Canis lupus familiaris: one gene and its partners. The protein of the gene in region 1 interacts with the protein of each later gene in a pairwise test. Links are inferred from orthologs where the notes say so. Each region holds a gene or a part of one and is shown on either strand. Other genes may lie near its edges.

What was found.
Region 2: the proteins of SGTA (region 1) and EVA1B interact in binary tests that used the Homo sapiens proteins (3 or more experiments, as listed by UniProt). The two-hybrid records come from large-scale screens. The link is inferred for Canis lupus familiaris from reciprocal best matches to the Homo sapiens genes SGTA and EVA1B.
Region 3: the proteins of SGTA (region 1) and NAXD interact in binary tests that used the Homo sapiens proteins (3 or more experiments, as listed by UniProt). The two-hybrid records come from large-scale screens. The link is inferred for Canis lupus familiaris from reciprocal best matches to the Homo sapiens genes SGTA and NAXD.
Region 4: the proteins of SGTA (region 1) and SYT11 interact in binary tests that used the Homo sapiens proteins (3 or more experiments, as listed by UniProt). The two-hybrid records come from large-scale screens. The link is inferred for Canis lupus familiaris from reciprocal best matches to the Homo sapiens genes SGTA and SYT11.
Region 5: the proteins of SGTA (region 1) and ZG16B interact in binary tests that used the Homo sapiens proteins (3 or more experiments, as listed by UniProt). The two-hybrid records come from large-scale screens. The link is inferred for Canis lupus familiaris from reciprocal best matches to the Homo sapiens genes SGTA and ZG16B.
Region 6: the proteins of SGTA (region 1) and ZG16 interact in binary tests that used the Homo sapiens proteins (3 or more experiments, as listed by UniProt). The two-hybrid records come from large-scale screens. The link is inferred for Canis lupus familiaris from reciprocal best matches to the Homo sapiens genes SGTA and ZG16.
Region 7: the proteins of SGTA (region 1) and SPP1 interact in binary tests that used the Homo sapiens proteins (3 or more experiments, as listed by UniProt). The link is inferred for Canis lupus familiaris from reciprocal best matches to the Homo sapiens genes SGTA and SPP1.

What each region holds. Positions count from the first base shown.
Region 1 is NC_049241.1:56,918,581-56,921,791, forward strand, and holds the end of SGTA (small glutamine-rich tetratricopeptide repeat-containing protein alpha), read left to right. Parts: intron 1-1,224; coding exon 1,225-1,262; intron 1,263-1,976; coding exon 1,977-2,066; intron 2,067-2,252; coding exon 2,253-2,367; downstream 2,368-3,211. UniProt on the Homo sapiens protein: Co-chaperone that binds misfolded and hydrophobic patches-containing client proteins in the cytosol. Mediates their targeting to the endoplasmic reticulum but also regulates their sorting to the proteasome when targeting fails.
Region 2 is NC_049236.1:6,008,986-6,013,157, forward strand, and holds EVA1B (protein eva-1 homolog B), read left to right. Parts: upstream 1-1,917; 5' UTR 1,918-1,979; intron 1,980-2,273; 5' UTR 2,274-2,279; coding exon 2,280-2,346; intron 2,347-2,726; coding exon 2,727-3,160; 3' UTR 3,161-3,414; downstream 3,415-4,172.
Region 3 is NC_049243.1:59,036,248-59,040,477, forward strand, and holds part of NAXD (ATP-dependent (S)-NAD(P)H-hydrate dehydratase), read left to right. Parts: intron 1-328; exon of another isoform or gene 329-403; intron 404-1,368; coding exon 1,369-1,519; intron 1,520-4,230. UniProt on the Homo sapiens protein: Catalyzes the dehydration of the S-form of NAD(P)HX at the expense of ATP, which is converted to ADP.
Region 4 is NC_049228.1:41,910,985-41,915,712, reverse strand, and holds the start of SYT11 (synaptotagmin-11), read left to right. Parts: upstream 1-1,660; 5' UTR 1,661-1,934; coding exon 1,935-1,968; intron 1,969-2,660; exon of another isoform or gene 2,661-2,764; intron 2,765-4,728. UniProt on the Homo sapiens protein: Synaptotagmin family member involved in vesicular and membrane trafficking which does not bind Ca(2+). Inhibits clathrin-mediated and bulk endocytosis, functions to ensure precision in vesicle retrieval.
Region 5 is NC_049227.1:38,795,524-38,800,113, forward strand, and holds ZG16B (zymogen granule protein 16 homolog B), read left to right. Parts: upstream 1-1,620; 5' UTR 1,621-1,699; intron 1,700-1,783; 5' UTR 1,784-1,811; coding exon 1,812-1,866; intron 1,867-2,082; coding exon 2,083-2,182; intron 2,183-3,113; coding exon 3,114-3,444; 3' UTR 3,445-3,522; downstream 3,523-4,590.
Region 6 is NC_049227.1:18,003,110-18,007,193, forward strand, and holds ZG16 (zymogen granule membrane protein 16), read left to right. Parts: upstream 1-1,791; 5' UTR 1,792-1,889; coding exon 1,890-1,944; intron 1,945-2,119; coding exon 2,120-2,252; intron 2,253-2,953; coding exon 2,954-3,269; 3' UTR 3,270-3,378; downstream 3,379-4,084. UniProt on the Homo sapiens protein: May play a role in protein trafficking. May act as a linker molecule between the submembranous matrix on the luminal side of zymogen granule membrane (ZGM) and aggregated secretory proteins during granule formation in the TGN.
Region 7 is NC_049253.1:28,635,260-28,640,049, reverse strand, and holds the start of SPP1 (osteopontin), read left to right. Parts: upstream 1-1,450; 5' UTR 1,451-1,591; intron 1,592-2,694; 5' UTR 2,695-2,705; coding exon 2,706-2,759; intron 2,760-2,869; coding exon 2,870-2,908; intron 2,909-4,790. UniProt on the Homo sapiens protein: Major non-collagenous bone protein that binds tightly to hydroxyapatite. Appears to form an integral part of the mineralized matrix. Probably important to cell-matrix interaction.

The DNA of each region.
Region 1 (3,211 bases):
CACCCGGGGCTGTGTCTGCCTGTGAGGGCCGGGGCTGCCGGCCTGGGCGGGGTTGGACACTGGGCCCGGCCGTTCCTTAGGGTTGTGACCGGGGCATCTGAGGGGCTGAGCAGCATCCCCAACCCCACCCTCTCGACGCCAGGAGCTCCCCCCGTGTGACCACCACCTAGGTCCCCAGACACTGCCATGCCCCGGGGGCAGCACTGAGCACGAAGGACAGCTGGATCCTGCCTCTCCCCACCCAATAACCCGGGAAACCGCATCCGTCTCTCCAGCTCGGTCTCCTCCTCATGCTGTGGAGACCCTGACGGCAGCACACCCCACCTGCTTCCCAGGGTTCGGGTGGACGCCACCACCTTCTGACGCCAGAGACTTAAGGCCAGAAGCACTTGTTCTGTGCGGGGCGCCCAGCTGTGAGCCTCGGGCTGGTCGCTGCACACCCATGGCCGTTGATGGGGGTCTTGCTCACCGCAGGCCACACTGCTGGCTCACGGGGCCTCGGTCCAGGGTCTCCAAGCATCAGGACGAGAGAAATCCCCAGCCTTCTGGCCGCAGAAATACCCTCAGGGCAGCAGGGAGCGTCTTGTCTCCTAAGTCGGTAGAGGCCGCACTTGGTCCGCAGGCAGGATGGCTGGCCGGGCATGGCAAGGGGCCAGTGCGGTCCGGCAGGGCTCACACCTCACCCGCGTCTGGGGTTGGCAGACCAGCGGGGTTTGTAGTTGCGTTGGCACCCAGGTGTGCGTCCGTGGTGACGCCAGTTGGGCGGGCGGGGCAGAGGCTGGCCCAGCAAGCAGAGAACCTCGATGCTGGTGCCTAAAAGTTAGCCGGCCCCCGTGAGCCACGCCAGGCAGGCCCCTCTTCATCCCGCTTGGCCGCTTCCTGAAACGTCATGGGGCGGGGGGGTGCGTGACGTTCAAGCACAAGCGTCTGTCGCAGCGGTGTTTACCGAGGGAGCAAAACGAGGCTCACCATGCAGATGTGTTCAGTGGCTGGGAAAACGGATCAGAATACGTCTACACGGCAGAGCCTAAGCAGCCAGTAGATGCTGAGGTGCTCGGGGGTCTCTTAAAAGACCCAAGCAGGATAAAGTGGTAAAACGTGGCAGATCAGAGGTCGAGGAAGGGCGTCAGGAAGGCCCAGGGCCCGGGCGCCGAGCAGGAGGGGCGTGTGTGGTCAGGAGACGGTGCGGGCACTTCCCTGTGTGATTTGTGTTCTTTTCTTTAGGCGTCAAACCTAATGAACAATCCGCAGGTTCAGCAGCTGTAAGTGACAACCATGCTCCTTCGGGTCTGGGGTTAGATTTCTTATCGTGACAAGACGCACCTGCCGTAAAGCCTGCCCGTTTTAACCATTTCAGGGTTTACAGTGCGGTGGTGTTAAGTACATTCACAGTGTTGTGCAGTCATCACCGCCATCTAATTCCAGAACATTCCATCACCCCAAAAGAGTCCTTGTCCCCATCAGCCATCACCCCTCTCAGCCCCCGGCCCCCATGAAACCCCTCCCCGTCCTAGATGTGTCACACACGTGGACTCACACACAGTGGGGCGTCCTGTGTCTGGTCCCTCCCGAGCATCGTGAGCTCGGTTCTGGGTCCATGTCCAGCAGCGGAATCTCTGGGTTGTGGTGATTGTGTTTAACTTAGTGAACACCTGCCCGACTCCGGTCAAGTCCTAAAACACAGCTTCTCATCCACTCACTGCCGACATTGGGGCAGATCACTCTGGGGGGGCGTCTGGGGCGCTGTGGGGGCAGGCCAGCACCCCAGATGTGACCAGTGTCCCCTGGCTGAAGACCTCTGTCTTTAGGCCAGAAACCAAGGCTATTCTGAGTGAGCTGGTGGCATCACAGCAGCCACCGTCGGGGCGGGGGCGGGCGGCCGTGGCTCTGGGCCCCAGGCGGGCTGCCGTGAAAGGGCAGGGACGGCGGGAACGGGAGGGCTGGGCTGTCCGCCACATCGCGGGCTCTCCTTGCAGCATGTCCGGGATGATTTCGGGCGGCCACAACCCCCTGGGGACTCCCGGCACCAGCCCCTCACAGAACGACCTGGCCAGTCTCATCCAGGCGTGAGTAGACCCCTTACTGGCCCTCGGGGGTGGCAGCGAGGGCCTGCCCAGGACCGTGAGAACGCGGGTGCCGTGTGCCCATGCTCTCCGCTGGACCCCGTGGCCTCCGGTGGGGGGCGGGTGCCGGGGGAGTGGCCAGGAGGGCGCCTGGGCCTTCCGGTTGAGCCGGGCACGCCTCTCCCGCAGCGGCCAGCAGTTCGCCCAGCAGATGCAGCAGCAGAACCCAGAGTTGATAGAACAGCTCCGGAGTCAGATCCGAAGTCGGACCCCCAGTGCCAGCAACGACGACCAGCAGGAATGACCGCCCTCGTGAGTGCCCTGTGCGTCCTGAGCGCCGATTTGACGGCCCTGCGACCTCAAGGCCGGGCGGGTCTCTGTGGTGGGGGGCGCCCGGGATCATCACGGCCCTCCCCGGCTGTTTCTGTGGCACCCTGTTCCTTCCCGGTTGTGTGTGGGTGGGCTCGTCACTGCGCTGGGTTTTGCGTAGCTGACGGCTGATATGTCACTGCTTCCCGGCAGGGCCGCGGCCTGAGCGCCAACAGGCAGTGTTTGTGCAGAAAGCCCCCGACGGCCACAGCGATGGCCAGCAGGGTCCCTGGGAGGGAGGCCAGCAGGCCCACCCGGGTTCCCCTGGGCGGGGGTTTGCTGTAAGCCTCTGTTACTGCAGGATTGCAGGGAAACAGACTGGGGGTCCCGGGTGTCCCGGTGCCTGTGCTGGCTTGGGCCCCCTGGGGGTCCCAGGAGACGTGCCTCCTGGCACAGTGGCTTTCCCGCCCAGGAGACATGGGCATCGTTGTCCTCCCGTTTCTCCTTTGACTGTGATTTTCTACTAAAAATTTAAAGGGCAGGGCGCCTGCCTGGCTCAGTCCGCAGAGGCTGTGACTCCTGATCTCATGAGTCATGAGTTCAAGTTCCGTGTGGGGTGTACAGATTACTAAAAAAATAAACTAAAAAAAAAAAAATAGTTTAAGTTTTAAAAGCCAAAAACACGGAGCAGCAGGAAAAACACCTTCGAGCTCTGCCTGCAGCAGCACACATTAATCATTTGGGCATATTTTTTCCAGCCTTTTTTTTTTTTTTTCTCCAAAGTACTCTTAAAAAAAAAACAATAACAAAATCTCATTGAGATCAGTTTTGCGTTTGTT
Region 2 (4,172 bases), on another chromosome or scaffold:
GGCTCAGCGCGGCCACCAGCTTCACCGGGGCCGAGTCACACCTGGCCCTCTCCAAGCACGCGTGACACAGCAACGTAGACGGACACCCGTGTCAGCAGGCGGCGGTACCAGAAGCCAAACATCCAAACTCCTGCCCGCCCTCAGAAGGACGGAGGGCTCGCGGGTCCCAGGGCACACGGGCGTGCTGCGGGGGGAGGCCCACAGCCGGGGCACATGGGTCCCGGGACACAGTCCGGCAGACACAAGTGTGCTGCATACACGAGCCGACAGCCCGGGACACACGGATCAAGCCCGCTGCGTACACCCCGCTTAGCACCCGGCCCTTCCCCCTGCAGGGTTGTCGCTCGGCCCGCTCGGACCAGGGGCGCCCATGCCCGGGGGCCCAGGCCAGGCCCTGGGGTAGCACCCGATGCGCAGCGGCTTGTCCTGGTGCACCCGCCACACCCCTGCTGCGGCCCATGCGACATGGAAGTGGACACACGAGTACCCGGAGGGGCAGGGACGCCTGCACACGCATGCACAAAACAGACCCAACAATCCCCAAGACACTGGGAGTCCCTGCTTGTCCCCGGGCCAGTCTGCCTTTCTCCTTCCAGATCTGCCCTCTGCTTGAACCCAGGCTCAGCCCTGGGAGTGGGGGTCTCCGGCGTGGACACAGGGGGGGTCACGGGCCCACAGGCCTCAGGCCGCGCCTTCAGCTATGCCTGCAATTTCCTCTCCCCCTTCCTTCCCTCCTCCTCTCTGAGGCTCCCGCCAAGAGGGCCTCCCCCTCACCCAGGGCCCCCGCAGGAAGGGGGGCCCGGGAGGGGTGGGGGCTGAGAGTCGGGCAGGAAGACGCGTGGACCCTGTGACACACTGCACACGTGAGCCCTGAGCCTGGGGGGAGGTGGATGCAAGGGCTGGGCACGTTTAGCCTGGAGCAAAGTGCACGTCTGCCGTGGCTGGGGTGCGGGTGCAGGGCGGTGTGGGGTGCACAGGGGCCGCAGAAGCTGGGGGCAGCTGGGGGGGGAGGCCTGCAGGGCTCTAACATTCAGTCACCCCGTGTGACAGAGCTCTGCCAGCTGGATGCCCCGGGAGGGGAGTTCCCTCCCTTGTGAATTGAGGGTCCAAGGGAGGCGCCCCTGGGAGGAAAGCAAGGTGTAGACGGGCTCTAGGGGCAGAGGGCAGTGGGTTCAAATCTTGACCCTTTGGTCAAGCGTGTCGCCCACCTTGGGCCCCTCCTCCTCTCCCTGACTCAGTTTACTTCTCTGCCAAGTGGCAACAACAGTGCCCGCGTCGCAGGGGTGTTAGAGTTAAAGGAAAGAATATTCAAAGGGCACGCACTCGCACCCGCACCCACACGCGCACCCTCACCGGCACCCGCACCCTCCCCCGCATGCGCACCCGCACCCTCACTCGCACGCGCACCCTCACCGGCACCCGCACCCTCACGCGCACCCTCACCCACACCCGCACCCTCACCCGCACCCTCACCCGCACCCTCACCCGCACGCACACCCGCACCCGCACCCGCACCCTCACCCGCACGCGCACCCTCACCCGCACCCTCACCCACACCCGCACCCTCACCCGCACGCGCACCCGCACTCACGCTGCCCGGCACCGAAGCGGAACTTCATCCGCATTATTATTATTATCATTATTTTGTTATTAGGAGCTTGGGGGCGGGTCGCTGCGCCCGCCTCCCCGCGGTTTCCTGTGGGAGAGCCGAGCCCCCCCGCCGCTCCCCTTCCTCCCCGGCCCCCTCCCTCCGCGCCTCCCCCTCCCGCCCGCCGCCCCGCCCCGCCCCGCCCCGCCCCTTTCCTCCGAGGAACTTTCCGCGGCTGGTCCTGGGCCCGCGTCCGGCCCGCGCTGCCGCGGCCTGGGAGCCGAGCGGGGCAGGGGGCGGCGGGGACCGGACGGGGCGCGCGCGGCGGGGCCCGGGTGTATGCGGCCGCCGGACGCGCCGGGGCCGGCAGCGGGGAAGCGGGGCGCCGACGGTGAGCGAGCGCGGGGCCTGCGGGCGGTGGGTCCCGGCGGGGCGGGGGGCGCGGCGGCTTCCCGGGCGCGCGGCGGAGCCTCCCGCGGCTTGGAGGGGCGTCTGCGCCGGGGAAGAGGCCCCCCAGGCCGGGCCCGGGGCCGTAACGACGTTAGGGAGCCGCCGTCTGCAGGGTGGAGCGCGCGCAGCGGGGTCAGCTGCTCCGGAGGCAGCGGGGTCGCGGTCAGCCGTGGGCTGGGGGGGGTCCGACCTTGCGACCCCGCAGGCTGACGGGGGGCTGCCCCTCCGCCCCCAGAGCGGCATGGACGCCCCACGGAGGGACATGGAGTTGCTCAGCAACAGCCTGGCGGCCTACGCGCACATCCGCGGTGAGGGCGGGCCCGGGGCCCGGGCCCCTCCCTCCCCTCCTCCCCCGCCCTCCCCGCCCCCATCCCCCCCCCCCCGCTGGCGGCTACCTGGGGTCTTGCAGGTAAGGAGTCCCACCCTCCCCCTCGCCCCCATCCCCCCCCCCCCCCCCCCCCGCTGGCGGCTACCTGGGTCTTGCAGGTAAGGAGTCCCGCCCTCCCCCCGCCCCCAGCCCCTCCTCCCCTCTCCCCCTCCCGCCCCCCCCGCTAGCGGCTACCTGGGTCTTGCAGGTAAGGAGTCCCGCCCTCCCCCCGCCCCCCCCACCTTAGAACCCGGGCTCCTGGGCGAAGGGACTACCCCCCAGGCGCCGGGGCGCCCCCCGACGCGCGCCCTCCGCCCGCAGCTAACCCCGAGAGCTTCGGCCTCTACTTCGTGCTGGGAGTCTGCTTCGGGCTGCTGCTCACCCTGTGCCTGCTGGTCATCAGCATCTCCTGTGCGCCCCGCGCGCGGCCCCGCGGCCCCGCTCCGCGCCGGGACCCCCGCAGCAGCGCCCTGGAGCCCGACGACGACGACGACGACGACGACGAGGACACGGTGACGCGGCTGGGCCCCGACGACACGCTGCCCGGCCCGGAGCTCAGCGCCGAGCCCGACGGGCCCCTGAGCGTCAACGTCTTCACGTCGGCGGAGGAGCTGGAGCGGGCGCAGCGCCTGGAGGAGCGCGAACGGATCCTGCGGGAGATTTGGCGCACCGGGCAGCCCGACCTGCTGGGCTCCGGCACCCTGGGGCCCGGCCCCACGGCCACTGGCACCCTGGGGCGCATGCACTATTACTGACCCGCCCGCTCCCGCTGCGAGGAGCTCTGCGTACTGCACCCTGCGCGCCAACTCACAGCGGCCCCAGGCCACTGGGACGGCCCCGCCCCACCGCCTCCCCCCTACCCCAGGGCTCCGGGGTCTGGACCCCCACCTTCCGGGCTCCCCAGTCCTGCCAGAAAACCGGCGGGGAAGGCCCGGACGCGGGGACCCCAGCCCCCCTCCTGGGATCGGTTAAGAGATGAAGGGACCAATGAAAACTGCATTTCCAATGACTCAGTGTCCCTCTGTTGCTTCTGCCCCCCGTGCGCCCCAGGCTCCTGCCACGCAGGGGCCCCGGATGGAGATGCCCCCTGACTCGTGTACCAGGCTGACCCCCCGGCGTCCCGACCCACCAGCCCCTCCGCACACAGGCCTCCTCCCGCTCACACTGAAAGCAGAGCAAGCTGTCACTCGCAGGCCTTCCCCACACGCATTCCTCACCCGCGAGGCCCGGCGCACCCCGCCCGCTCCCCGCGGAGCTCCGGGGTCACGCGCGCGCGCCCCAGGCCCGGGGCCCTGACCTCGACGCTAAGGCACGACAGCCCGGGCTAGGCGGGCGCCCCCGGGAGGGGTCGGGGCGGCAGGGCAGGCCCGCCCACCTCCTCGGGCGCACAGCTGGATTCCGGGCTCCCGGCTCCGGGCTCCGGGCTCCCGGCCCCGGCAGACGTCGGAGGGAGACGCCCCCCGCCCGCCCCCGCCATCCGGTGGGTAAAAATAGCGGCGCGCGGGCCCTGGGAACGGTAATGGGAGCCACATGTCGGCCAGATGTGCCCGGGAGAGACCGCCAGGAATGCGGAGGCCCCGCCCCCGCCCTCCCTCCAGGCCCCTGGGCCCCGCCCCCTCCTCCGACCATTTCCCGGCCCCGCCCCCTCTGGCCCCGCCCCCCGGCCCCGGCCCCGCCCCCGCACGGACCAGGCAGGCGCGGCGGGCGCGTACACCGCAGTTTACTTTCTTGCGTTTCTCGGAGTCGTGTGCCAGGACGTGGGTGGCC
Region 3 (4,230 bases), on another chromosome or scaffold:
CGGACTTTGGAAGCACAGGCATCCGCCCGCTGTCGCCATCGCTGAGCAAACCCAGTTGTGCCTTTTCTTGGCCAAAGGTTTGCAGTGATTCTGTTTTGAGTTTTAGTCTTGTGTTGGTTTGGGAGAAGGTGCAGAGTGTTGAGGTTGAGAGTAGTTAATATTCTCACATGGGGGTGGGGGTCTCAGCACCTGGCATGTCAACTAAGGAAGCATTTATACCTACTCATTAAAGAAAACTACTTGGATAAATTTGTATAAATAAAAAGTGAATAAAAAGTGAAATAAATAGTGAAACTGTAAGAGTGTAATTAAAGATAAAGCTGTTTACCTTATGGAGCTGGGGCAGCTTTGGTCTTCATTCCAACTGTGACACCTGCCTGGTTTTTCTCTGCTGCTGAGATGACTGGAAGGAAACAAATGTTGGTGCCTTGTGTGAGAGTATTGTATGTATCTGCAAAGACCCTTTAATTCTAGAGAAAACAGGTGCTTTATTGTCTATTCAAACGTTGAATATACATGTTACGGAACATGGCGTTTCTCTCACAGATGAGCTGGGTTTAAATATCAAGGCAGCAAAATACATGATGAGGAAGTTTCAAGAAAGACAATTAAAATCTAGCTGTTTAGAGACAAAATCATTTTATTGTTTTAAAATGCCACTTTGGGGATCCTGGGGTGCCTCAGCAGTTTAGTGCCTGCCTTTGGCCCAGGGCATGATCCTGGAGACCCGAGATCGAGTCCCACATCGGGCTCCCAGCATGGGGCCTGCTTCTCTCTCTGCCTGTGTCTCTGCCTCTCTTTCTCTCACTCTCTCTGTCTCTGTCTTTCATGAATTAATAAATAAATTTTAAAAAGATCTTAAAAAAAAAAATAAAATGCCACTTTGAACCCAGTGTAAGCTATGTTCTCTATTTAGAATACCATTTCTAGGTTATTTAATTAGTAATTAATTGAGTGTCAGAAACGTGACTAGAAGGTTGGGGGTATGAAGATGATCAAGGAAGGTAACAAATGGGAGGTTGCTTTTTAGCAACCTGAAGAGACCCGATAAACTTGATGGAAGATTGAACTGGAATGAATATGTGTGGTTTTTTAAGTAGTAATGCATTAGAAACATCTTCTGAAAGATTAATTAGTCTTCTGGAATGTCTAATACATTTCAAAAACAAGCTTGGTATGTATAGCTTGTGTGTGGTAATTTCTAAGCATCATTTGGTTAGAGAAATAAAATAGTGAAACCATTGGATAAAAATCTATAGCGTTCACGTTAAGTCAACTTTGGGAAGTGTTTTGGTTAATAGGCTCTCTTTCAGTCTTTTTCGTGTGTGCTAATATTTTTCTAAATGATTTCATTTTCCTGTTTTTCAGTTTTACAAAGAGCATTTTCACTGCATAAAGCACGTTCAGTAGAGGATATGGAAAATACTTTGCAGCTGGTGAGAAACATTATACCTCCTCTAACTACCAAGAAGCACAAAGGCCAAGATGGAAGAATAGGCGTAGTCGGAGGCTGCCAAGAGTAAGTGACTTGGAAAATGTGGGTGTGTAGGCCGTCTCTGTCGTCTCACTGTCTGCCTGCTTACCAGCTGGCTGTTTGTCTAGTTAGACCCCAGTAATCATTTCTCCGTGTAGTCGGATGTTCTGACACCGGTATTTGTCAGTGATGAACTTGGTGACTGAATAGGAGAAAACAGTAAGGGTCCCAAGTGAGCTGTTAGTGTAGAGATTGCACCTGCGGTGGGGGCTGGGATGGGACTCTTTCTTGTTTTAGGCTTTACTGACCAGGCTACATACTTTAAATATGTATTACTTTGTGGAATTTTTTTTTTTTTTTTTTTTTTTTTTTAAGATTTTATTTGAGAGAGAGAGTGAGCACTTGCGGACAAGCGGGGGGAGCAACAGGGGAAGAGGGACAAGCCAGCTCTGCACTGAGTAGGGAGTCTGATGCAGAACTCAGTCCCAGGACTCAAGGACCATGACCTGAGCTGAAGGCAGCAGATGCTTCACTGACTGAGCCACCCAGAGGCCCCTAAACCTGTTACTTTGTAATCAGAAGAAAAACGGTGTGTTTGGTTTACTTTGTCAATTTGAAGATGTTCTTCGAAGTCATTCATGAAATTTGACGGATCTAGCCTTTTTTCAAGGCTTGTTTTCTAATTCTGTATATTTTGCTGCTGTGCAGTTTGACACAGTTTTATAATTTGTCCTTGTTTATAAAATGATATCTTTGCCTTTTACTTAATCAACCTTGGTTACCATTTCAGCTACTGCTTACTCTCTGTTCATATCATGTGCTGTCTTTGCCTGGCTGTATATTTTCAGTTTATCACATGGTTAGGTGTCTTATAAATATAATACATAGCTTGATTTGTTTCCTAACCTCATGTGACAGTAATTGGTTTTTTATTTTTTTTTAAGATTTTATTTATTTATTCACGAGAGGCACAGAGAGGGGAGAGAGAGAGAGAGGCAGAGACACAGGCAGAGGGAGAAGCAGGCTCCATGCAGGGAGCCTGATGGCAGGACTTGATCCCAGGATCCCGGGATCACACCCCAGGCCAAAGGCAGGTGCTAAAGTGCTGAGCCACCCAGGGATCCCAGTAATTGCTTTTTTAATACTGCAAATCAGCCTGTTCATGTTTAGAGTCTACCTCATGTACTCTCTAAGACCTGTTACGTTTTCTCTTTATTTTACTTTGTGTTTCTATTTTTTTATTATTTTTGCTAGGTTTTCCCTTATATTAATTTGGAAATTGTATTATGCTTTCAAATTTAGGTGTTGCCTTTTCTGACTATTATGGTGAATTACAAATGCCACTCAGGAGAGAGAGTTAACACTTGATCTAAGAATTCCTAGGGAATTCCTAGCCCAATCCCTAACTGCTACGTGGAACTTTGTATACGATACTGCCAGATAGATCCTGTGTTATTTCCTGCCTGGCCCAGAAGTCTGCACTTTGGCTCTTCTGGCATATTCTTTGACAACGTGGAGGGGGGGGGTTGTTGCTGGGGGGCACTTGTACACCTGCTGTGTCTTGCTGTGGTCGGTGGGCTGCTTGGTGCTTTGGCTGAGTTGGGGATGCTCGGGTAGCAGGATTTTCTGTGGTAACCTATATATGATCACATAGTCGTCTAGCCTGTATTTTGCACTACAAAAAAAAGTTTACAGTTTCCTCCAGATATGTCTGGAATGTGTCTTATTTTCACTAATTTTATTGAGACTTGGTGAGCTCTTTCCATCTGTAGACGTGGTCCCTTTGGATGAGGGAAATTTGCCTGTTACTGGCTCCCACTTTCTCATCTGTTTTCTTCTCCTCCTACTGCATGCTGGGCTCTTGGATCCTTAGTTCTTAGCTGCTTTTCTTCCTTTTGTCCCTGGTTAAAGGACAGTCCTCCTCCAGCCTCTGGGATGGAGGCCAGCAGGTGGCCTCTGCCGGGTGGTTGGGTCCTTCATCCTTTGAGAGAATTGAGGAAGTCAGGGTTTTTAGTCCTCACATTCCCTCCATCTCCTGCCTTATATTTTGGGACATCTACATGAGAAGAACTGGATGTCAGCTTTTCTTTTCAGATAAGTTTGGTAGTGTAGCATGCTAGGGGTGATTATCTAACTTAAAGTATGTCAGTTAGCTTTAGGAACTAACCTTGAAAATAGGATCATTGTTATTGTGATTATAAAAGTATTATCTGCTTGTTTTAAAAATTCAAATGGTCCAGAAATGTATGAAGTGAAAGCCTCAGAGTATCTCAGATAATAATAATTCAGTGTGGACACATTATTAATCTTCTGGACTTTGTGCATGCAACTATTTATTTATTTTACAAAACTGGGACCATGTCACTGTTTTGTGCCAGTTTCAGCTTATCAATAACCAGTGTTATGGGACCTGCCCCTGAGTTCTTACGATCACAAGATGCCCTCCAGCCACAACTACCAGGAAACTTTGAAAAAATAAAGCTGTTTTACTTATAGGACTTAGAAATGACACAGCACCCCTGGGGCCTCACGACTGAGGGCTGCAAGTAGACAGAGCATGTAGGTTTGGGATTCTCCTTTTATTGGGTTTGAGGGCAAGGGCTTAGGTTTCAAAGATTCACTCTTTATTGGTGAATTTGTTTTTTTTTTTAATATTTTATTTATTTATTCATGAGAGACACAGAGAGAGAGGCAGAGACACAGGCAGAGGGAGAAGCTGGCTTCATGCAGGGAGCCCGATGCGGGACCCGATCCCG
Region 4 (4,728 bases), on another chromosome or scaffold:
CGGACTGAAGCCGGCGCGTCCGACGTTTGCGAAAGACTTTAAAAGCGAGATTCCTTCTCGCTTTCTCTGTACGCGCAGCGATCCTACTCAAAATAAGGCTGGACTTTGCGACTCGGTGGTGTGCTTTGACAACTCTTCGTTCCCGCCGCGAAATACCTGGAACGCGGAACCGAGGAAGTGGCGAATTCATAAAATTGCAGGAAAAAGACCCCCGGGCTTGTACCAATAGTGCGGGTTCCCCAATAAAATGGGGGCAGGCTTGGACTCAGCCCGCAGTGATCGCTGCGGTCTGCATAATGCTCTTAATTCCATAAAATGCTTTCAAGTAAGTTATCTTAGGTGACCTGATCCTCGCAGTAGCCCCGGGGGATAGTGGCTATTACACCCTCCCCCGCGTACGGAACACACTCCTGGCTCGGCGGGGTAGGTGATTGCACACATGCAGCTGTGGAGGGACCTCAGGTGCCCTAACACGGCTCAGCTGGTCAGGTTCTTAAACACACACAGCTGTCCAAGGACCTCAGGTGTCCTAACTCTGGCTCGGCTGGGTAGGTGGTTCCACGCACACAGTTGTCGAGGGACCTCAGGTGTCCTAACTCCGGCTTGGCTGGGCAGGTGATTGCATACACACACCTGTTGAGGGACCGCAGGTGCCCTAACTCCAGCTCCTGACATGCCAGGTCCAGCGCTTGGAAAGGCGCCCGGGATGGAGTGCTGTTTATTAATCCAACACACGGGGTTTGAATGAATGCATGATTCCTAGACCCACGTTCTCTCCACTTTTCTGGAAGGACAGAATGTCGAAGCTGAAACAATACACCCAACCATCTCCGTTTGCAGGTACACCACCAACAGCTACTCATGCGTTTAAATAATTTGACCTGATCCTGTCTGTAAACAGGATGAAAGCGTCCACAGCCAAAGAGAAGAGGGAAATTGCGGTAATCGTGCAGACGACTGCCAGGAGTCTACAACCTGAATCACCCTGCCTCTCCCAATGCCAAGGAAGTCTCTAGAAGCTTGGAGTTTCCTCTGTATCCTGCTCTTCAACCTGCAGGATATACAGTTCTGTCGGTTTCCTTGCTGGCTCTGCCCTTGTGTCTCCTTCTCTGACCCCCTATAAGCCCTTGGAAGTTTTTGTAAGAGGAATACCCAACACGGGTTAACTCTGACACACCTCATTAGTCTTTTTTAAAAAACAGCTTTCATTTACACCACAAAATCCATCCGTAGATGGATTGCAGAATTGTTCTACAAGTATCCCCAGTAAGTTTCCAGAGTTGTGCAACCATCACCTGGTTTAGTCTTTAATCAGAGCTTCTGAAGTTTAAGAAAGTTTCCATAATAACATTTAGTAGTTTCAGAAATGCACAATAATGGCAAATGATACTGAAATGCAGACAGTATACAATTTTCTTTTTCCAAAATACTAGGTTCCGTCACCCTGAACATTCTGCTGCTGTATTAAGCCCCGGGAACCGGAACCACAGGATCTATAGAACTGCATAGGGAAAGACACCTACAGCTCTCAGACCACCCCACCCATCCGCGGTCCGCCGGTGGGCTGGGTCTCCCTCTCCAGAAATCTCGGCGGTCCCCTCGCCGGGAGCTTCCGGGGCGGGGCCTGGCTCCCGGAACTCTTCGGGCGGAGGCGGAGTCTCCTGCCGAGGGCCGCTCGGAAGAGGGCGGGGCCTACCCGCATCAGGACCAGTCTGGCTGCACCTGCATCCTTCCGCTCAGAGCATCCCCGGAGCATCTTAGGAGGCGGCCGCAGCTGGCAGTCAGGGGCCCGACCGTCGCAGGAGGTGTCCGCCAGACACCTTCCCCCTCCCCTGAGCTGGCCCTCTACAGCGGCGGCCTCGGTGCTGACCGGGCGCCCCCAGACTCGTCTGATCCCTGAAAAAGCATACATAGCAATAGCCTCTGATTACGACATGGCTGAGATCACCAATATCCGACCTAGCTTTGGTAAGTAGAGTGCGGACAACTAAAGCCTGGGGCCGTGGGCACCGCCGCACAGCCAGGGGCGCCCAGTGCCGGGAGGGAGCGAAGCCCACCCCAGGGCCTTCAGGGTCGGACCCGCTAGGATTGGGCCTGCGACGGCGAGCGGCGCCAGAACTTGAGCTGCGGGTGCAGGGGCCAGCCAATCCGGGGGTCCCCGGGGGTCGCCGGGGGTCGCGGGTCGCGCGGAAACCTGTGTGGCCCGAGTCGGCGCTCTGCAGGGGAGGAAGGGAGGAGGATGAGGACCTCTCCCCCTCGGGGCGCTCAGGGCGGTGCCCCCTGCTCCCCCTCCCATTCCTCGGGCTGCGGGGGAGGGCAGCGGCGGGGGATGGGCGCCAAGATGGCATCTGGGGGGCTGGGGGGCCGGGGGCCAGCGGCCCGCTGCGGGGAGCCGAGGCTGCGGGGGCGCCAGGAGCTGCTGCCCAGCGGGCGGGCGGGGCGCGGGGCGCGGGGCGCGGGGCTGGCGGCCGCCCAGGGCCCCCAAGTGCGGTTCTGCACCGTAATGGTGGGTCCGTCCGATGCTACCAAATGGCGCTTGGCGCTGCCGAGCTAGGGATGACGTGATGTCTATTCTGGGCCTCCTGGCAGCGCCCAGGCCCCTCTTCCCGGGCCTTTGTTCCCTGTTTCCCTGGCCTGGCCTTTCCGAAAGGGGGACTCACCGCGCCGGTGCTGGCGAGGGCGCGGACCAGGCCGGGGGGAGGGGCGGAGAGGCCGGGCCGGAGGGAGGCCGCTTTGTGTACCCTGCAAGGCATTACGTCACCGCGGAGCGGCTGGTCCCCGACCCGGGCCTCTGGGCTGTGATCCCGGCTGTGCTCCCAGGAGCAGAGAGCCCGGTGGAAAATATGGAGGAAGACGCGAGAGAAAAGCTGAAAAAGCAAGTTTTTTCCTCTTTGGGGCTTCCTCCAAAATGTGCTAGGGTTGCAAACTTCCTGGGCTATGTTTTCCTGGTTCAAAAATAAAGGAGTTACCCTGTTTCTCCCTCCTTTTCACCTCAGCTTGGATGAGAGCCCCAGGTTCCTTCAAATCCCCTAAAAGAGCACATCCTTCAGGCAATCCAGAAGGTTTGAGCATCCAGACAACAATTTTTAGGGCGGGGCCACAATCCAACTAGGAAATGGCTTTTCTCCTTCCCCAGTAAGAGGTTGGTGGAAATGAGCAGAACCCCATGAGCTCTCCCACCTCAAAATCAGGAAGAAGATATCAGATCAGGGGAAGTATCCAAAAAACAGATCACACCCATTAGCTACTGGTTCTTACTGATTCCCCAAGGCTAAATCTTAGTGGTATCTCTTTTTTCCACTTCACCTTCTGCATCTCTACCTTTGAGTCCTACATTTCCAAAACTAATGTCCCTTTTGTGGTCACATGAGCACTCCATGATTTTCTTCCTGTTCTTTCTCTTTTGTCTTATGCCTTCTATCCAACATATTCTTTTCTCTAATTGCAGTCCCAGATTCCTTGGAAAGTTAGAAGGTGTGGAGCATGATATAGTAGTTTCCTTTAGAGGGAATATTAATGGAAAAGAGAAAAATTATTTCAGCATTTTACCTACTCCATTTTATTTAATCCTTACAATATCCTCCAGTGTAGGCATTATTATATATATTTGCCAGATGAGGAAACAGGTTCAGTGAGACAAAATAATGAATCAAGTCAAACAAACAGCAAGGGTAGCACAAAGACTTAAACCAAAGTCCAGCTTATGCCAAACTCCATTGTCATTTCACTGTGTCACTCTGGCCCACTTGACAGGAAAGGCTATAGTAGAGGGAGTGTCAATAGCAGGTCTAGTCAAAGGCTGAGAGACCTAGGCACAGCCTAGATATGTCTTACAGATCTTTAGATGTATACAGGGGTACTACATAGAGAGCTGCCATTTCTGATTTTCTCACATTTCATAGAGTACTTCATTTCAAAGGCTTTAGCTCTTTGGAGGTACACCAAGCCAACACTCAATTATCCATGACCTTGGAGGACAAAAGGAGCAAGCAGCACAGTCACTGCAATTTATGACTACTTTAAAGCACTCACTTTAGCCATCAGTTCCACTTCCTTTTCCCACCAAGCTTTTGATGAAAGCAAAATAGAGGGTTCTGAGTTTCAGCATCTCTGATTTTTCTAGTTCATTGTCTTGGGTGTGAGGGAGAGAGGCAGGGGTTAACAGATACCGAAATGAAGAAAGAGGGGGGAACCCTGGGTGGCGTAGCGGTTTGGCGCCTGCCTTTGGCCCAGGGCGCGATCCTGGAGACCCGGGATCGAGTCCCACGTCGGGCTCCCGGTGCATGGAGCCTGCTTCTCCCTCTGCCTGTGTCTCTGCCACCCCCCCCCTCTCTCTCTGTATGACTATCATAAATAAATAAAAATTAAAAAAAAAAAAAGGAAAGAGGGGCAAAAGTGGGAAAACAGGTGGAGGAGAGAGAGCCTGGATCGTCCACAGATGGCTTCATAGGTTTGTCTTCCTTATCTGTCCTCCTGAAACGTGAGAATCCCTCCTCTTCTTTTCCCATCCCGCCTCCATTTTCTTTTTTTCTTTTTTCTTTTTTAAAGATGTTATTTATTCATGAGAGACAGAGAGAGAGAGAGAGAGAGAGAGAGAGAGAGAGAGAGAGGCAGAGACACAGGCAGGGGGAGATCAGGCTCCATGCAGGGAGCCTGATGTGGGACTTGATTCTGGGTCTCCAGGATCAGGCCCTGGGTTGAAAGCGGCACTAAACCGCTGAGGCACCT
Region 5 (4,590 bases), on another chromosome or scaffold:
CGAGGAGCCCTGGGAGGCCGGGCTTGGGGGGGCCTGGGCCCCAGGGCCCCTAGGGAGACAGCGCGGGCCCTGAGGGAAGGGTCGAGTCCACTGCTGCGGGCTGCCTCCCCTGCAGGGTGGGGGCCGGGGAGCCCCCAGGCAAGGGCCAGAGGATACACGTGGTTGGGTGTCTGGGTCACCGACTGCACAGCCCTGGGGGGTGAAGGCCACCCCAGAGGGTATGCACGCGAGAGGGCCGGTCTGTGTGCCCGCAGCACTACCCACGGGCAACAGCATTGAAATTCCATAGAACTTTCACGTCGCTAAGTGCTGCGCTTCTCTTGCGTCGTTTCTAACCATTGACAAAATGTAAGGAGTGTTCTTAGCTCACGGGCTGTGCTGCAACAGGCGGGGTAGGGGGGCTCGATTTGGCCTGGGGGGGGGGCGGGAGAGGAGAGTGTGTCCCCGGGCCTGGGCGCCTCATGTAGGGGTGGAGGCTCCAGCGGGACAGGGCCTCCCCCCATGCCCAGGCCCCAGACACTGCCGTCCCAGTGCAACCAGTATGGAGAGCCAGCCACTGGCACTTATGTGACTGGTCACCACTGGCACTTATGCGACTGGTCACCAAAGGACAAGTGTGTCGTTTCTGATCTTTTGCAATTCTGAAGGACACGGCCAAGACCTGCACGCCAGCGGCTCTCGTGAGGGTCTGGTGTTCGGGCCCTTGCACGGAGAAGGATCACCGGATTCTCCTAACGTCCGCGACGAGGCTCTGCGGCCGCCTGTGTACAACTGATGACCCAGTCGCAGCACTCGGGGGACAGGAGCCCCCCGGAAGGCACACACCTCGTAGGCAGGGAAGCCAAGATTTGGCCCCAGTCTGGCTTCAGCAGTAGCACCGGCAGGGACCGGAGACCCGCAGCCTTCGAAAAGTACTCTGTCACCTCCCCAGTGAGTCTGACCCCGAGGCCTGACCCCAGGAGCCCTCAGCACTGGCCTAGGGAATCGTCCTGTCCCCGATCCTCTGTGCCCGTGCCAGGCACCTCGGCTATGCGGTCACCCCAAAGCCCGTGGAGGCCAGCCCATCCCAGCAACGCCTGGCCCACGCACAGAGCAAAGATCATCACCGTCTTCTAAATGACACACCATGGAGGGCCAGCGCCTGGGGGGTCTCTTCCAGCTGGCCCCAGGCACACACGGCGCTCCCCGAGGGTCGGCGGGGACCTCAGCCTCAGCGGCTGGAAGCCCACGGGACACTGAGCTCTGCACAGGCCCGAATGAGGTCCTGGGCCAGGTTCTGAACAAGGCAGGAGCTTCTAGGGGGCACGTGGCCTGGAGCCCCCCATGGGGTGGAGACCTTCTGGCCAAGCTGGGGAGGGCCCCCAGCAACCCCGTCACATCTGGGTGCAGCTCTGGTCCAGGTGCGGAGTGGAGAGGCCCGGAGGCGGCAGGACAATGGTTGTCACCGTCCCGTTTTGTTTGTGTAGGCCATGGGGCCAAGACAATAAGCACAGCGTGTCCGGGAGCCTCCCCCAGGATGGCTTGGGACTCCCCCAGGAAGAGCTCCCACTGCCCGTTCCTTCCTGTTCCCCCCGCGGCCCTCACTCCTTCCTTCTGGATGGGGGCCCACAGGGCCGTGATGGGTATAAAGAGCCGGCGGAGAGCACCAGGCACAAGACTCTGCGCCACCAGGACTGGGCGACAAGACTCTCCTGGCCAGGTAGGGCAGCGCCCCTTCCCCCACAGGCCCGGTGAGGTGGGACGGGGTCCCTGTCGGACTCGGTGGCCTGCCTCTTCCCTCCAGGAGCCTTGGGACTCCCCATCCAGAGGCCATGCTGCTGTGGCTGACCCTCGCCCTCCTGGGGAGCACCGGCTGCTGGGCAGGGCGTAAGTCTGCTGGGTATGCCCCACCCCCCCCAGCCCGTCCCCCTGCGCGGCCACCCTCCGCCCACCGGGCCCTGGGCAGAGCCCTCGCGCAGACCGACTCCAATCTCGGGAGCCCGCGGGCTGCCTGGTGGGGGGGCCGAGCCCAGTTCCGGTCAGGGACGCACCGTACCTCCGCCTGAGCGTCCCTTCCTCCCACCCGATCCCCTCATCACCTAGAGATGTACGGGATTGGGCAAGGCAAATACTTCAGCACCTCTAGTGACTGCGAAATCACCGGGATCCGGGTGGCCACGAGTACCTTTGGCCTGATGAAGAGGTGAGAGGAGCAGGACCTTGGGAGCCGGGGGAGGGGCTTTACCCCCTTTCCCTGTACCTTCGCTGGGCTCCGGAGGACCCTGGGAGTTCTGGAGCCACGGCCTGTCCCTTCGTTCCTGTCCTCAGGCTCCTCCCGCCCTGCACACCGGCCCCTCTGGTTCTGTCTGCAAGTCCTGAGCGGCTTCCTGGGCTGATGTGAAAGGAGGGGTAGATGATGCTTCTCCCTCCTTTCTCATTTGAACCCCAAACAGCCTGTCAGTCTGAGATGCCTGCCTGATGGGGAACCCAGGGGACGGTCTGTCCAGGGGAGGGTCAGAGGAAAGTGATGGTCAGAAAAGACCACTGGCAGGACGCAAGTCGCCAGAAGTGTGCAGAGGCCAAGAGCCAGGCTCTGGGCCTGGCGGGGGATCTGTGCTCTGCACTCACAGGGTCCTGCGGGGAGCGGCCAGCACCACCGGGGACAGAGCGCCGGCAGGGCCAGGTGGACGGAAGCCCTGATGAGCACAGCTAGGCCAGTGTGGGAGTCACCTGCCTCTAGGGCCTGTGACCGGGTCTAGTCCATAACTGGGGCTCAGAAGCTCCAACGTTGGGCCTGGGGACAGTTCCCCACCGTGAGCAGCGACAGCAGCTGGAGCCTGAGGGTTGTGGCGACTTGCCAAGCTCCCCTTATGAATGATGTCATTGATGCCCCCCCCCCACGCACTCCCACTCTTCAGGTAAGGAAACAGGCCCAGAGAGGCTGGGTGACGAGCCCAAGATCACAGGGCTCGAAAGCATCAGAGCAGGAGTCTGAGAGCAGCACCCCTGTGCCAGGACCCCAAATCCACGTGCTTGGGGAGGTCCACCTGTATGACAGGGTTGTTGTCCGTGCAAGGGGACAGAGCACCTGGGGAGCGGGGAGGCAGTATGGCAACTCTTCCCCCGTCTCCCAGTATCCAGGTGAGATGCGGGTCGTCCTGGAGCACAGTGTATGGCACCTCCGGGGGGAACACCCAGGAATTCATCCTGCAGCCGGGAGAGTACATCACTATGATCTCTGGCTCCTACAAGTTGTACATGCACTCCCTGGTCATATACACACATGTGGGTCGCTACGGCTTATTTGGCAAGGAAAGTGACTTCAACTTCATGGCCTACCCCGATGAGGAGGGGCAGGTGCTCACGGGCATCTGTGGCCAGCACAAGCTCTTAGGCATCTCGGGCCTCTGCTTTAACTGGGGCTATCCTCCAACCAACATCACAGAGGTGTATGCCTCCCTGTGAGCCAAGGGGGCCGAGAGGAGCCGAGTCTGGACCTCAGGCTGGAATCTACCGATTAATAAAGCTTCTGCACGAACGGTGCCTCCGGGTGTGGTCCTTGGGTCCGGGGTGTGACCGAAGCCTTCCCAGCCGGTGGGGGATGAGGCCCGGGGAGGAGGTGAAGGAGTAGGGAGGAGGGGGTCCGGCGCCCCAGGCCTCGGGGATTCCGCCAACGACAAGGGCCCGCAACGACAAGTGCAGGCTTCAGGCCTCAAAGATCTTCAGTCTTGAGGAGTCTGGGCTCTGAGGATGCTCCCGACCCCGTCCCTACCCCAAGCCGTCCAGCTGGCCTCTGATGGCCCAGGCTCAGTCCCCATCTTCTCTGGGGCCTTAGGGCAGCCAGCCGTTCACTTATTTGCCCACTCAGCACACACTTGCCGGGGCCTGGGCTCCCCTGGCCACTCAGGGTTAGAAGAGGCCAGGTGTCTAGCCAAAGGGTGCCCTGTAGAAGTGGGTGGTGGCATCTGCATTGATGGGGACACACGCAGGGCATTGTGAGTAGGCACCAGCGTACAGGCAGGGTGATGGGGGAGTGCTCCAGGGAAGCCTTCCTGGAGGAGGCAACGGAGGAGGGTGGAGGGGGAGTGGGAGCTGGCCCCGTAGAGACAGGAGGAGGAGGGCATCCCGGGCCGAGGGACCCGCAGGGGCAGAGGCTGGGACCAGAGGTGGCTGGGGACAGGGCTCTTCGATGTGTGATTTGTGACAGCAGCCTAGGGCGCTAATGCAGACTCCACACCCTGCCCGTCCCAAGCCTGGAGTCCCACACGGGAGTTCGCCGCCCGCGTCCCAGAGACAGCCCCCCAGGGTTGGCCTGGGTCACACAGCAGCAAGCCTCCAAGTTGGGGTTCGCGTGGCCTGGAGCCCCAGAAACAGGCCGACGTTTTACGCCGTCCTGCTCCTTGTCCTTAAAATGCTGGCTGGGGGCCATGGGGTGCTGCTCCCCCGGGGTCCCAGGGCCGGTTTCCGACAATCCTCGACCTAGGCTGGGGAGAAGAAAACAAAACTCCTGTTTATTTTCTTTGTTTCCTACTGGAAATTTCGGGTTTTCTTCAAGTGTGAGTGTGACCTCAGCCGGCTCCTCTGCAGCGTCTGTGACCTTGGCGTGTCACT
Region 6 (4,084 bases), on another chromosome or scaffold:
TCCTTAGCTTCCCACGTGCCCTCTGGACTGACTGTCTGTTCCCAAGAGGGGGATCTACAGGTGTTCAGTGTCCACCGGCAACACCAATGTTACCTTTTTTTTTAAAGACTTTATTTATTCATGAGAGACACACAGAGAGAGGCAGAGACATAGGCAGAGGGAGAAGCAGGTTCCTCGCAGGGAGCCTGATGCAGGACTCGATCCCAGGACCCCGGGATCAAGCCCTGAGCCAAAGGCAGACACTCAACCACTGAGCCACCCAGGTGCCCCCTCTGTTACCTTACCGTTCTCAGAAAAGGTTTGTGAACAGTCTGGCAGGTTGAGGATGGATAGATGGGGGAAGAAAAAAAAAGCAAACACAGCAAAATATTAACCATGGTAGAATTGACATGGTGGGTATATGGGTACTTGTACAATTCTTTCAATTTTTCTATCAATGTGGATTTTTTTTTCATATAAAGTAAAAAGGAGAGGGAAAAAATTGGAATATAGTAGGCACTCCTAAGTATGGAACATTGGGAGTGTAATCCCTCTCCAAGAGAATCTATATTTCAAATGCCCTGAAAGGACAATGTTTTTCTTGAAAGATGACATATTACAGGTGAGAGCACCTGCAGAACACCCAAATAGGGGAGGGAATCTTAGACCACACCCAGAAGTGATTAGTAACTTAGCCCACCCAAAGCTGATGGTCCTTTCGGTTGGTGACCTTTTCTCAAGTTTATCCTGCCTGTCCGTCCTGAGATATGGCCTTGGCCCCGAGTACCCCACCCTGTGATCTGTCACCCTTGGGGGGAGAGGCCGGATAAGATATTCCGGACCCTGCTTGACAACTGATCCTCAGAGGTTGATCATATTTGCTCAGGAGGTGAGGTTCACACGATAAAGAGCAGGAGGAGGGCTCGGACCTGGTATAAAAGATCTGAAAGTTTCAGGGGGGTTACTTTGCACCTGAAACTGCCAGGTGAGGGGTGACAGAGGCCTGAGCTAAGAGGTGACAGGGATGGCCGGGTTCAAATTAAGGGGAATTCAGGCTGAGCCAGACAGGCACCTACTTGGATTGGGTGGCAAGAGAAACCTGCGGGTCAGCTAACTGGGGCTTCTGTATCTGAGTGAGGTGCAAAGATATCTGGGTCTCAGTGGAAGGACTGGGGATGTCTGGGATGCTCGGGGGAATCAATGTGGCCAGATTTGTGTTAGTGGAGAAAGAATGATGACAAATAGAGCAGGCATCTGGAATCTAATATCTGGAGCTGGTCCAAACACCTTCTGCAATCTCTATCCACCTCTGCCTGAACTGCTCTGATGCTGGTGGTGGCAGTCTCCTCTATCACCACCTCTACTCCCCAGGTGTCACAGAGATGCACCTCTAAAATGCTCCTTTCCTTCTGATCTGAGATCAGCAGGAAGCTAGAAGTTTGAACTCTGCCCAGATGTCCCCCCACGCCAGGCCCATCCCTTACAGGCAGATTTCAGTTAGGTTTTGCTCAGACTCCTGGTTTGGTAAACTCAGCCATCTCTATGATTTGGAGATGGTCTCTACTTCTTTGAAAATGCTTTTCCTGCTTTGTGGCAGGAGGGATCAGGACTTAACACAGCTTGGTCCAGATAGAGGGTTAGGATTGATCTTCTGATCTGGGATGGAAGAAGGGAGTTGGCTCCCTCTGGACCAGGGACGACAGAGGGGTTAAGGACAGAAGACAGTCGGCCAAGAGCAGGACTAGAGATTAGGGACAATCCTTTCTAAGCCCAAGACTGGGTCAGTGAAGTCTGAGTTGAAGACAAAGAAGGCTGACACTCAGCTGGAGGTCAGTGAAACCTGAGTAAATGAAAGCCAAAGAAAAAAAGCTAAACCTTGACTTTCTCCTTATTTCCACTCCAGCCCCAGAATGTTGACCATTGCTCTTCTGGCCCTACTCTGTGCATCAGCCTCGGCCAATGCCAGTAAGTGAGAAGCCAGGAACCCAGCATAGTGTCATGGGAAGGCAGCCTCCTGCATTGCTGGTGGCCAAGGCTTTCAGAGGCTGGCTCGGAGTGGTGGGCACTGAGCTGTGGGAGGTGGTGGTGGGGAAACTGAGCTTTTGAGATTTCTCCCTTCAACTCCTACTGTCCCCTCCAGTTCAGGCTAGGTCCTCCTCATACAATGGAGAGTATGGAGGTGGTGGAGGGGAGCGATTCTCCCATTCTGGCAACCAGCTGGAAGGCCCTATCACCGCCCTCCGTGTCCGGGTCAACAGATACTACATTGTAGGGTAAGATTCTTTGTGTTTCTGTGGTTTGGGGATCTGCTCTGATCTTGCTAAACTGGAAAGTTCTCAGTCACTTTGGGTCATGGCTGTTCCAGTCAACAAATCCCAGGGATAACATGATACGTGAAAGTTGTTAGAGGACAGGGATCTGAGGTCAGCTCTGCTAATAACCCTACAGCCCCCCAGCACACATGACCTCAGGCAAATCATAGGCCATAGCTGCTCAGGCACTTGGAAGCTGGCTAGTCGGGCCCCACCTGAGGTGTAAGCCCCCTCTGGCATCTTCCATCTTTGCTGACTCTCTCCAGACAATGTATAGCCTTCTAATCCTGGACTACACCCTGGAACAACAAAGTATCTTCCCTAACGAGAACTTTCCAGAAAGATCCCCCTGCTCCCTTTGTATTGGGGGTGGGGTGGGGTGGGCAGCACAGTGGGAATCTAGATTCCAAAATCAAGCTCCAACGCTGTCTGCTTGACTCTGGCTAGGCAATTTTTCCTTTCTGAGCCTCTGCATTTGTGGGCAAAGCGAGTTGAAGTTCCCTGTATGATCTCAAGGGCTCACTCACCCCTCACACACTGTGGAGTTGGCAGCAGACCTGTTGCCCCATCACCAGTCTGCAAGTCTCAGCAGGGAGGCGGGGAGGTCCTGAATTATGATCAGCCCAATGTCAGTCTTCCTTCCTTCCTCACCCTGCCCCTAGCCTCCAGGTGCGCTATGGCAAGGTATGGAGCGACTACGTGGGTGGCACCCAGGGAGATCTGGAAGAGATCTTCCTGCACCCCGGGGAGTCAGTGATCCAGGTGTCTGGCAAGTACAAGTACTACCTGAGGAAGCTGGTCTTCGTGACGGACAAGGGCCGCTACCTGCCTTTTGGGAAAGACACAGGCACGAGCTTCAACGCCGTCCCCTTGTACCCCAACACTGTGCTCCGATTCATCAGCGGCCGTGCTAGCTCCCTCATCAATGCCATTGGCCTGCACTGGGACGTCTACCCCAGTGACTGCAGCAGTTGCTGAGATCCAGCCTTCTCCAGGCCCTGCATTGCGGCGACGGGTATGGGAACCTCTTCACCACTAACTCCATCTGCAAGGCTCAATAAAGACAAAATAAAAGAACCTAGCTAAGGCTCGTGTGTGTGGGTGTGTGCAGCTGGAATCTGCCTCCTGACTCTGGCTGTGAACGAGCGAGCGAATCTCCTATCTGGCTGTCGGATGTCATTCTAGGGAAGAGTGGGAGGGAGAGGAGAGAGGTCTAAGAGTCCTGGGCTTTTCTTCCTAATTTATCAAGAGGAGATAAGATTAGGGCTTGTACCAACTCTTTTTTTCAAGGATAGCTCCTGAGACTTTACCCAAACTGGAGTCCTAAGGCTAAGGGCTGGCCTGGCTGGGGCTTGTCGCCAAAACCCCAGATGTTCCACTCCCTAGATCGCCTCTACCCTTGATAGTCCCTCTTCCTCAAAAGGCCCTCTTGACCTTAACTCACCTGCTATCTGTGACTGGCCTGGGCTATTTTCCTTTGTTCTTTCCCAGAATCCACCTGACTTCTGAAACTTGGCCTGTGTCAAGGACCTTGCCTGTTACTCCAGCCTTGTTCCTCCCCAACTTTGCCCAGAAGCACTAATGTCCTTGCTTAGTTTAGCTCACTCAGAACTGGGCTTCCTTCCCTAGGAAGCCACCACCTCCTCAACAGCTTCTACTCTGCCAATACCATCCTCAAAAACAGGCATTACAAGAGGGTAGATTTCCATCGTGGGTTTCTATGAACGTTCAGGGGAGGCAACAGAGTGGTTTCACAGATATAGCAAGGCTATAAAGTTGCTTTAGAAAGAATT
Region 7 (4,790 bases), on another chromosome or scaffold:
ACACATTAGACAGAACTAATAATAAATAGGACCATTTATCTTTAATCTCACTTCGCACACAATTCTTACAATGGAAGTGTGAGGTAAATGAATAGTTGCAACCCTCATTTCTCACAACTGAGAAAAGTAGATGAAAATTAAGTAATCTCAAAACAATATTAAATATTTAAAATGGAATCAGAGCTATGCTACCTCTAATTTCTGTTCTGATATTCAAAGTCACCTGTAATTTTTTTATTTAAATACCTTTTAAATACCCAGTAAAGTTTTTTTTAATATGGAAAAATGTTTTTAATTTTATTTTATTTATTAAGTAAAACCTTTATATATCGTGGGAGAAAAACTGGAAAAAAAATGATTCATAGAGCAATCTATTCCTATAGTGATATGAAAACTACCTTATTGATGTACACAGTTTAAAGATCATACATCTAACCTCATTCTAATAACCTATTCCACTTAAAGATATTACAAATGATGACTACTTGCTTCTCCAAAACTTTCAGGAATAGTTAACACACACAGTGCTTCAAATATGCATATAATATGTGCCAAGTGTTGTTAGTTTTGCACATACTAATTCATTCAAACTTCTCACAATCCTCATGAGCTAGATAATAGCGTGTGTATTTGACAGATGAGGAAACAAATATAGGTAGGCTAAGTGACTTGCCCAAGGTCAAACAGCTAATGGTGGCAGTGTAGGACTCAAAGCCACACTCTGGCCCCAGAAGCAGCCTTCTCAAGCAGTAACACTGCTCCCAGTCAGAAACTACTTTACTTCTGCAGTATATACAGTAAATTACCATTCTTCTATTTTGTATAGCAAATTATCTGATTCACCACCTCCAAACAATTCAAACAGCACAACAAAAATTCATGTCCTTGAAGGGTCATCGTAAATCCAACTTGAACATGGGCATGAACATGGAATTTAGTGTTAGTAATGTCATTTGTCTAAATGACAAGCTGCTATATACTTGAAATCACAATACCAAGCTTGAGTAGTGAAGGATGGAGGGGGCCTCTCTGAACTCTTCATACACCTGAAGGAGAGATAGCCTCGCACCTGTTAAACAAGTATATCTGTGAGGCAAATTTGGTTGCATATATGACCTTAATCTGCTATTTAACCTGAAAGAAACAAAAGTCTATTCCATTTTATTTAAGACTAATTTAATATTAATATTTTTTTCTTCTAGCTCAGAAATTATAGACTGTTTCAAAGAACTAGTCATTCCTCCCCACTTTTTTGTAGGACCCCTAGATGCCCTTCCACCATGCTAAATGCCAACCCCATAAATGAAAAAGCTAGTTAATGATATCGTACACAAGTAATGTTTTAACTATAGTTTGTGTGTTTGCTTCTTTGTTTTTTAACCACAAAAACCAGAAGGGGAAGTGTGGGAGCAAGTGGGTTGGGCAGTGGCAAAAAAACCTCATGACACATTTCTCCGCCTCCCTGTGTTGGTGGAGAATGTCTGGAGCAGCATTTAAATTCTGGGAGGTCCTGGTTGTCAGCAGCAAGAGAAGGAGAGAAGTGCAGCATCGTCCAAGACTGGGCTCTCTTCTCAGCCAGCCACAGAGCAAGGTAAGCCCGCAGTTCACTACCCCGTGTATTCAGCTTCATTTCAGGGGCAAGGGCAAGTCGTGAGGAAAGGAATTGAACTGTAAAGCTGTTAAGCAGACTTGAATTGTTCTAGGCTTTTAAATGAGCATGGGGATACGTTACAGATTTCCTGGAGGAAAGGTAACTGGTTATTTTAAAAGCCAGTCATTTATAGGACTCAAAAATACTTTGAGTCCTCAAAAGAACTGAAATTATTTCTTCCAATCAGAAGGAAAAAAAATGAAAAATTCTATGCCCCTTTCAAATAACTATATACATTAATTTAAATGGGTAGATGGCTGTGGAAGCATTTAAAGGGATAAAAATCTTTAGTGGTAATGTAAGCTAATAATAATGCTATGTTTTAATGATTTAATGTATCCAACCTATTTTCAAGAGAAAAGAAAAACCTTCTGAATAATTTACTTCTGTATTTAGCTGTTAGATTTTTCACCAAAATAACTGTATGACACTATTTAGACTTATTATCATGAATAGAAAAGCTGTTGACTATTTTCTATGTTTTGGTTTCTGTTTCAAATTTCTAGAATGCCTTTCTTAAATAACTGAGTTTTGAGACAGCCTCATTTTATCTAAGTGGTACCTTCTTAATAATTTCAGTTATAAATCACACTTAAAATGCACGCTGGAAAGATGGAGAAAGCAAGTTTCTTTCTATAGTTCTATTTTCTTTCTTCCCCTTTGTGTTTTTCTTCTCTGAGAAATAAAGATTCCAACACTAGCTTATTATTTTAGTTAAATTACTAATGATCTGTTTTTAGGTTGAGATAGCTGGAGCTATCAGGGAGTAATGATATAATTCCTGGAATTCTAAATTTTAAAGTTGAATATAGACTTGGGAGATTCCGCTCTCCCTTGCCTAATAGTGAGAGATAAAGAGGTGGCATTACAAATATTAACTCAAAAGAACATAGTGTTTGAAACAAGAGTTTTCTCCAAAAGGCAGAAAGTATTCTACAGAAAATATATTTTATTAGTAATGATTTTGTGATGTGGTAGCATAAAGAAGTATGACTGTTTTACCCTACAAAGAAACCGAATATTCCTTATAAAATATTTTGCAGGAAAACTCACCATGAGGATTGCAGTGATTTGCTTTTGCCTCTTAGGCATTGCCTACGCCATTCCGGTGAGTACAGCTGCATCTTAAAGGAAATTTCTCAAAATAAATGAATTGTGTGCTCCCCTGTGCTAGGAACACATTCACATTGTTCTTTGTTCATTTTTTCTATTTCAAAGATTAAGCACGCTGATTCTGGGAGCTCTGAGGAAAAGCAGGTAAGCATCTTTTCGGTTTATCATGTAATTAAATTATATGCAGCTGTACAAGAGGTACTACAAACATATTTGTTGCCATTTTACTTATCTTCATAGTCTTGCTGTTGATTGATAAGTATTTACTGACTGCTGCTTTCAATCTAGGCCTGCTAAGTACACTTACAGATGGTCCCCAACTTATAGTGCTTCCATTTACAGTTTTTCAACTTTACGATGGTAGGAAAGCCATATGCTAGTAGAAATCATACTTCAAATTTTGAATTTTGAACTTTTCCGGGCCTGGTGATGTATGGTACAATATTCTCTTGTAATACTGGGCAGTGACAGTGAGTTGCAGCATCCAGCCAAGCCACGGGATCACAAGAGTAAACACCAATATGCTTCCAACTATTCTGTATGCATACAACCATTCCATTTTTCACTTTCAGTACAGTATTCAATAAATTAAATGAGATATTCGATGATTTGTTATAAAATAGGCTTTGTGTTAGATGCTTTTGCCCAACACAAACTAATGTATACATTCTGAGCATGTTTAAGGTAGGCTAAGCTGTGCTATGATGCCCAGTAGGTTAGGTGTACTAAATGCATTTTTGACCCACCATATTTTCAACTTGCAATGGGTTTATTAGGACATAACCCCATTGGAAATTGAGGAAGATCTGTGTAGTTTTTAGTAAATATATGCTCTTAACACCAAACTAGTTCTTTTATATAATAAAATAATGCTCTAGGCCATTGTCATTTATATAAAATGAATTCTAGGAAGTCAAGTGAATTTTTCTTTCCATGAGTCAACATACTGTACTAGACATAGAAAATTCCATCCATGCTTTTTTAAGTTTATTTTTTTTAATATTTTATTTATTTATTCATGAGAGGCACAGAGAGAGAGAGAGGCAGAGACACAGGCAGAGACACAGGCAGAGGGAGAAACAGGCTCCATGCAGGGAGCCTGACATGGGACTCGATCCCGGGTCTCCAAGATCACACCCTGGGCCAAAGGCAGGCACTAAACCACTGAGCCACCCAGGGATCCTCCGCTTTTTTAAGTTTAAAATTTGTCTCACATACTGGATAGTTTGTATGGCCACAATATTCATAATATCTACTAAGATATTTGCTAAGAAACCCATTAAAAAAGAAAGGTTTTTATGCTGTTTGGATCTATTATGCTTGTCAGCTGACTTTAGATAACAATTTTCTAACCGAGCATAAGACCAAATAAAACCCTTTATTATAACTCTTTGACCAGCACCATAGATGTACATGCTCCTCCAAAATAGGTAAAATTGTGCCAGCCAAACAACAAATGGGCATTGTCCTGAGGAGCTTAGGCTAAAAGATACACAGAGTTCAATCCCAGATGAACAGAATAAAGGCCTGTGTAGTGTTCTCTGGGGTCACTGAAAGTAGATTGCTTAATGAAGACATTAGGAGATGTTTTGCTGCAAGTGTCTAGGTGTGCAAGTAGGTGTGTATAGGCATGTCTGTCTTCTAATTGATTTGAGAAAACAAATACGGAAGCACATTAATAAGCCAGAAAAATTAACATTTCCAAAAAAAATAGAGGTCACACTATCTGAGGCAAGAATTGATGCCTTTTACATAGAATAAATATGGCCCATAAAGCTATGACAGTATAAATTATTAAATTATATTTAGGAGAGAAGTGAAGAGATCAACCTTCCAGAATCCTAGAAATCTAGAGCTAGTAAGAAATATGGGAAAGTTACAAAGAGATACCTCTGAAGATGAATTGGTTATCTGTATTATGACTATTAGGGGGTTTTAATCTGTTTTGTTCATCTATATTGTCTTCATATTACCTTGTTTTAAATCATAAATTTAACTTATAAGTGCCTTCTCTCTGAGACCATAC